Linked DNA regions of Arabidopsis thaliana. The protein of the gene in region 2 interacts with the protein of the main gene of each other region in a biochemical or structural test. Each region holds a gene or a part of one and is shown on either strand. Other genes may lie near its edges.

What was found. Proteins that work in one complex are often made in the same cells at the same time.
Region 1: the proteins of PTAC12 (region 2) and PIL6 form a complex in vitro, tested with the Arabidopsis thaliana proteins (one study listed by BioGRID).

The regions. Positions count from the first base shown.
Region 1 is NC_003074.8:21,829,153-21,832,910, forward strand, and holds the start of PIL6 (phytochrome interacting factor 3-like 6), read right to left. Parts: upstream 1,686-3,758; 5' UTR 1,030-1,685; exon of another isoform or gene 751-1,029; 5' UTR 744-750; coding exon 673-743; intron 552-672; coding exon 1-551. Other genes in the region: AT3G59070 (Cytochrome b561/ferric reductase transmembrane with DOMON related domain-containing protein), read right to left, coding at 3,212-3,406. UniProt on the Arabidopsis thaliana protein: Transcription factor acting negatively in the phytochrome B signaling pathway to promote the shade-avoidance response. Regulates PHYB abundance at the post-transcriptional level, possibly via the ubiquitin-proteasome pathway.
Region 2 is NC_003071.7:14,583,116-14,586,873, reverse strand, and holds the start of PTAC12 (plastid transcriptionally active 12), read left to right. Parts: upstream 1-2,076; 5' UTR 2,077-2,329; intron 2,330-2,507; 5' UTR 2,508-2,528; coding exon 2,529-2,612; intron 2,613-2,729; coding exon 2,730-3,410; intron 3,411-3,500; coding exon 3,501-3,613; intron 3,614-3,687; coding exon 3,688-3,758. UniProt on the Arabidopsis thaliana protein: Involved in plastid gene expression. Acidic transcriptional coactivator necessary for the transactivation of many PIFs target genes (class B genes), particularly during the regulation of hypocotyl growth.

The DNA.
Region 1 (3,758 bases), on a different chromosome or scaffold from region 2:
TTGTTCCACTAACGGTTTCTTTGTTGTTCCTTCCATAGCTGCAACCGGAGGAGCCACCTGACGAAGTGTCAAGTCTTTCTTCGACGTTCTTGCTTCTATCACTCATAGAAACCGGAAGTGTAGTGGCCTGATGAATATTTGTTGACTGGTTGCTGCCGCAATGACTCGGTCCGACTGTTATAACCGAGGATCTAAACTTAGGAGGAGCCATGGCTTGAGCCTCATGCTTAACTGTCTCTTCGATCGTTCGTGGCTTCTCAGGACCTCCGAGGTGATCGATCGAAGAGAAGAAATGAGAGGAGAACTCGGATTCGAAAGGGTCGATGACGTCATCCGGAGGGTATTGTATCCAGGAGACGGTTTCTTGATCATCTAGAGCAGCGTAGTTAGGCTTTTGTACTGTTTCTTGGTTGTCAAGAAAAATATTGTTGGGTTTTCTTAGGGTTTCTTGTTTGTGGGTTTGGACTTGGACTGACGGTTCTCTACGAGCTTGGCTTTGTAAAACCACTTGACCATCTCTCCACAATAGCTCCACTAATTCATCTTCTGGTCTGTCCCAACATATGAATGTTTACAAACATATTTTAAACAAACAATACTTAAATAGCTATGATTAAGATGTGAAATTGGTATATAATTATGAAATACTTGAATTGGAAAATTGATATATACCTGATTGATCTTTTATTAGTGGACATGTGAAAATTATCTTCAAAATTCCAATCAGCAAACACTTGTTCCATGTCAGATCTGTAAAGACACTTAAATAAAGAATATATTACTTTTTTGTAAGTGAATAAGAAATGATTTGATTCATAATTAGTATAATGATTAACAGGAGATTTGAGGAAAAAGGATGATGAAAGCAATCAACTTAGAAAAGATTATTCGAAATCCCAACAGTTTAATGATTAGAAAATAATTAAACCAAACAACCCTCTCCAACAATCTAGGAGGAAATGATTTAATAAAGCAACTAATTCTATATATAGTAAACTCTTACTAAGGGGAAGCTATAAAAGTAATTACCAGATTTAGAAGCCTCTGAATGGATGGAAGATTTAGCTATATCAGTTTTTTTTTATTGCTTCACACGTAACAAAAATCGAGCAAGGAGGGACAAAAGAAGAACAAAAGATTCTATCTCCAAAACCTTCTCGGTTTTATCTCTCTTCTAGATAGGGAATTGTTCTGAAACTGAGGGAGTAAAGTTGAAACAGAACAGTAACACAGAGAGAGAGAGAGAGAAAGAAGAAAGAGAGGCTAAGGTTCTTCTTGCCAGGTTCAGACAGAAAGGGACAAGAGCTAGAGGAGGGAAGCAGAGAGATTATTACGGTAAGTAAGCGAGTGAGCGAGGGGGAGATAATGATTCGGTGGGGGCAATAGTACTGAAACTGATCAGGATGACCGACACGTGGCGAATTGTCAGACAACTAGTTAAAGAGTTAGTGAGACCCACCAACTCGGTTGGATTTTGTCTGTGAAGTTGAGAGAGATCTATTGCTCGATTTCTAGAGGTGGGTTTCTGATCTGTACCTTATCTGCAACACTCTTTGAGTCTTGACCAATGATTAAGGGTGTTTTTGTCAAATCATAACACCCCTCTTATGCTTCTCTTTCAGCGAATAGTATCTCTAATAATGGTAAACAAAAAACAAATTGAAGTTCTCTATTTTCTACGATGCTTCGATGAGTTTATATCATCATCTACTATATGAATATATGAACCGTTTTATAATCATCTGAATTCAATTTCATGTCAGAGTCTCATTAAAACCCGAGCGGAAATAATCTTGAGAAGTCATCATTTTTTCCCCCGGCAAATTTCCACATCGCATTTATTTCACGTGTTGACTAGTTAAAGCTACCATCGTAAGTTTTTGTGTTATTATCATTCTCTAAACAACTGCAAGTTTATACATATAACTTTTAGTTGATTGTGAATTTGGAATTTATTAATTATACACAAAATTTTGGATATTAATAACAGTTTTGAACCTAAATATGCAATCACAAATTCACAATGTCGTAATAAACCGTGGACCGTTGTGACTTGTTTGTCATGGACCACAGACAAACAATGGTCCACCAAAATTATGATCACATTAATTTCCGATCCTTATCACAATAATTTAACAGTAGATCAGTTTCTAACCCTTATCACATCAATCTTATCGTTTAATGTGCATAACCCCTACCGATCTAATGATAAACAAACATATTATTAGTATGATAAATTCATGAATATATTACATTGCAACTTACAAGTAGACAGACAGACATATATAGTGGGTGCATTTGTGAAGAAAGCATCCACCGAAAGGAGACATTTCCCTTTAAAAGTCTTTGGCCCTCATTTGCTTTTTCCACGAAAGAGACGAGGTCGTAATAGCGTCCATTCAAGGCTATAGAAGGCCATGAGCCAAGTAACTCAGTTTTTGTTTCCAGCCATAGAAATAGTAATTTAGTGCAAAATATGGAATTTAAATATGAGTAGTTTAGTGAAAATTGCTGAATAATAACACTTTTTCTTCCGTATGCAAGTTTTTTTTTTTTTTGATAAATTATTTTGTATGCAAGTTGCTATTTGCTAGTTGGATGAATTAAGTTGATAGATAGATTCGTTCGTCGTGGACGATACATGTAAAACGTTGTTATCCCAATCAAGCAAAGAGGAACACGGTTACACAGATGCCAGCCATAAATCATAAAACCCCAAAACCCTTCGATTGCTATTTTATTTTTCTTATAATTTTTGTTTGCATTTGACTCAAATGATGTCGTTGTATTTGAATTTATAACTCATGTCGACATATAAGTCGTCGCCTAGTTGGATAATTAATTCCATCATCTTCTAAACCGATATATGAATTAATTCTATGCATATACATTAGATTTCGACGAAGGAACGAATCTATCAATCATCATTGATTAAGGAACCATATACATACATTAAATATTTATGAATATGCATATTCATAGGATGAAGATAACATCACATTAAATAGAATGACATTAGCAAATTGAATTTATCAGAAAAGGCCCAAAAGTTTTAAGTCATGTCATATAACAGATATTGTACTGTGTTGTGGAGATGCGTTATTGGGCCTAAGATACGGCCCAGTTTAGTCCGAAAAATACAAATTTATCAGAGAAAAGGGCCGAACAAAACGTCAAAACCCTAACTCTATAAGAGACCGTTCTGAAACATTCAGGCGGCGGTGGCGGCGATGGAAGTAGACGGATGGTGGTAGGAATGAAAGGCTAGAAGCGGCGGAGAAGTATGTGGATAAGAAATAACAAAAACTGAGGGGATCATGAAGTTCTTCGTTATATTATAGTTTTCAATCTGAATTTCAATTCCGCCGCTCGCCTTTTTCCTCTCCGCCTTTTCCGTCTCTCCGATCTGCTCCCGCCGCCGACCTTGTGATGATTATAGCTCTGAAGGTCCATACAAGGATATTCAAATCTCACTTCTTGTAGAATAGAAATTTCGAAAGTTATTATTGAATAGAAGAACTTTTATTAGTCAAGATTGCAAAATATTTTTATATTCTTTGTGCACTCCTGAAATACACATTCACGAATTTATAGATCCATTTGTTAGCTTAATTAAACTCTAAAGTTCAATGTCTTTTTTTCTTTGGTGAGTTTGTCTGGGAAGTAAAAAAAAAAGTTTTGATCAGACACTCAAATTTTGAGTATCATTCTTTAACATTCAGAATATCAATTTTGAGTATCATTTACAAAGACCAGAC
Region 2 (3,758 bases):
TATATGTACATTAAATAACAATTTTTTGTATCATCGGACCAAGCTTGTGACGGTGAACAATTGAAATGAATGGAGTATAGAATAATTGTGATTAATAATTGAAAACACATAAAATAACATGATTTGTTAGATCTTGATTAATACTATAATAGAAAGAAGAGAAGTGTGACAACACATGGGATGTACCCAACAACACAAGGGACAGCTTCACCAGTCTGATTTATGCCACTGTCCCGTTCTTGTCCTCCCTCTGCCCCACCACTCCTTTGTTTTATTTCATCAGTAATAATACTACTAATTTTAGTTAGTGTTTAGATTAATCATAATGCAATAAACAAAGAAAAATATCTGATTTTTGGTAGAAAAACATACCAGCAGCTCATATACTATTAGTTCATATTTTTAACCGATAGTTGATTGTTAAAAAGAATGTTGATTCAAGAATTTTGTAAGAATTGCAACATTGTTGAACAACAGTGGCAAAACATACCATAAACTAATAGATACTAGTAACTATGATCACTGATCAAATAATGTATAAATCGGAGATTATTCTATGTAACATTTAACAAAAGTGTATTACAAGTAAATAAAGAATAAACTTTTTAAGTTACGAATGGTAAAAAACTAAAGAAATTTGTTAGTTCTCTGTTTGTATGCATGCATTGTCTCTCTGCTAAAATGTTCATGACAAGTCCACATCTACTCAAATACTCATCGAGGTGATTATCCTCGTCGTCGCTTTTATACACATGTAATATTACACACATCTATACATGGAGTATATTTTTAGCGAACGGATAGGTGCCATGTGGAGGTAAGTACACGTCGCCACTTGTGAGATTCTGTTCCAATTACTTGTGGAAGTGAATTATGTCGCAGAAAAAGTTTGACGAGATTTCCAATTAGCCACTCATTTATTAACGGTCACCAAAAGCATCAAATTACAGTTTTTTTTAGTGCTTTGAGATTCTTTTCCCTGACATATTGTTTTATGTAAAATAGCAAACTCGAAAAGATAGTAATAGTATCCAAATTATTATTATTACAGTATTATTTTTGATAAAAGGTTGTTATTCTTTTTTTATTTTTTTATTTATTGTATCTATTATATAATTCGAAACTGCTATATTGTTTGTCTTTAGTTTGCATCTCTAGCTTTATATATGCTTATGAAGTTTCAAATGTTGCTATTATATGCTGCTGATTCTTTTTTTCTTATGTAGGAGTATAGGTTTGACCGTTTGACAATACGAGAGGAAGAGGAAGTTGGGAAAAAACGACGCCGCATGGATAGTCTCGCTCGTTGCACGAATAGTTCAAAAGGTGACGTTAGGCGCGTGCGGGTCAGCGAAACTTGTGCCTAGTCAGACCTTTGTGGTATAGTCTTACGTGGTCTACGTCTGCCAAATTTCAGAAAACCAAAAAAACAATTATATGTTTGGTCCCTAGAAATAAATATTATCGTCGTTTAGCAAGTTTGAAGTAAGCAATAGTAGTATTAATGTATAAAAAGTGTAGGATATTAGGTTAAAATAGGCCTGTGATAGATACCGTAATGTCTATGATGTGTCTGGTCAGACCCATTTAATATTGGTTCAGACCATATTAGCACATTAGCCAATTGCCATTCACGTTGGGTCCAAACCTTCTTCCTTCTATAGTGTCTTAGACAAGTACGTACACACGCTGAAGTACAAATCATATACAAGTATTTATTCACTTAAAGGTACAATGATTGATGTTTTTTGTGTAACATGTTCCTCTAGTCCACTATATTAATCCATTACGGAGAGAACTATCTAAAAATTGTATAATCGCAATTGTAAATTGCAAATCTATTAACAAAACTAAGATGTGTTCACATGCATACTTCGATAAACATTCTTCCATATATCTTTTGTGTTAAGGCATGTTTTAAATGATCAAATCACATATTGATTTTATTTGAAAGTATATCAATATAATAAACTGTTTAGAAGATGTTTTGCCAAAAAAGAAAAAGATGTTTTGTTCTTCTTGGAAGTGTTTGTTAAAGCCCAAGAGAGACTTCAAGCTCACAATTTCTCAAAGATCCATTAATACTGGGCCTTAGTTAGATATACCAAGCCCATATACTTTCTCTTCACAAATTCCCGTTCTAATACCGGCGCGTCGTGAAATCTAGAGATTTTGCCGTCACCAGAATATGTTAATAAACGCAGGAGGAGATAAATGGATAAACCCAAAAACTGACAAGTGAAAACCTTTTGAAGCCAAAACCCCCTTCAAAATCAAGCTCCATGATAGAAAACCCTCTTCCTACATAATCTCCTGGTAAAACAAAAAGGTTAGTCTTTTTCTCCTCAACTTCGAGTGTGAAGCGTTTGTAAAAATGCCCAAAAAAATCGTACCTTGTTATGGACAATTTGTTGTATCAGGTTCTTCTTATCTGGGTTTTATGTTTTGTACTAGTTTGAAACTGATTCTGAGCATAATTGAATCGGTTGTTTTTGTAAATGATACAGTGAGAAGTAGAAAGAGTGTAAATGGCGTCAATATCAACCACCACCTGGCTCTACCGAGGTCAAGTATGCACAGACAGTGGAAAGTCCAGTAATTGTATTGTGCAGGTTGGTTCTTACACATCAAGTTTCTTGTTCTGATCCAAACTTATCTAATTTAGAGATAGTGAACATTTTAGCTTGTTTCAAGATGTCAAACTGGTAAAAGTTTGTTTATGTATGTAGAGACGGGTTAAATGTGGGTTTCCACTCAAGACATTGCATGCTGGGATTACTTCTAGGGATCGGTCTTTGCGACATTGTATCAAATGCAAGAAAGAGGATGGAGATGGTGATGTAAGTGAAGGGTCTAAGAAGAGTGAAGAAGGATTTGAGTATGTGACTGTTGAGAGGCATCCTTACCATAGTTATATGGATTCAACTTCTGGGAAGCTTGAGCCAGCGTCCGGGGCTCGGGCTAGTATTCCAGGTGAGGATTATTGGCCTGAAGGAACTTCGAGCCGGGTTAGAGCTGCTAGAGCTCCTCAACCAGCTGGTGAGTCTTCGAGTTTTCCTTCCTATGGAAAGAATCCTGGAAGTAGGAGAAAGAAGAATAGGAAAGCTACTGAGGAGAATGTGACTGTTGAAACGAATGACGAAGTATCCGATTCTGAGGATAGCTCTGAAGAAGAGGAAAATGATTCCTCGGATGGGTTTGTTACCTATAAGAATGAATTTGAGAGAGAAGAAGAGGAGACTGGTTTTGAATTAGACAAAAAGCTTGGAAGGCCACATCCTTTCATTGATCCTACGAAAAAGAAACAAATTGAAAAGACACTCACGAGCGATGAATCGTGGTGGAACTGGAGGAAACCGGAGAAAGAACAATGGTCAAGATGGCAAAGAAGACGTCCTGATGTTGAAACGGTTAGTCATCACAATGATTTCAGGTTTAAACATGTGTGTGTTTCCCCAATGTTTGATCCATTATGGTATTTTTTTTTGTTGTTGATGCAGGTTTTCCTCAAGGCAATGGCAGAAACAGGACAAGTGAAGCTCTATGGGGAAGAACCAACACTCACAGAAACTTCTCTTTATAGAGCAAGAAGGCATCTTTTCAAGGAAGAGAGGTATATTGATCTAACGAACTTTCAAGTGAAAATCTGTTTTATTAGGATTTTCTTTCGAGTTTTCTTTCTCTCAGGCTGCAAGCTGAGCGAGAGAGATTAGCGAAAGAAGGTCCAATGGCTTTTTATTCTGAATGGGTTAAAGCAT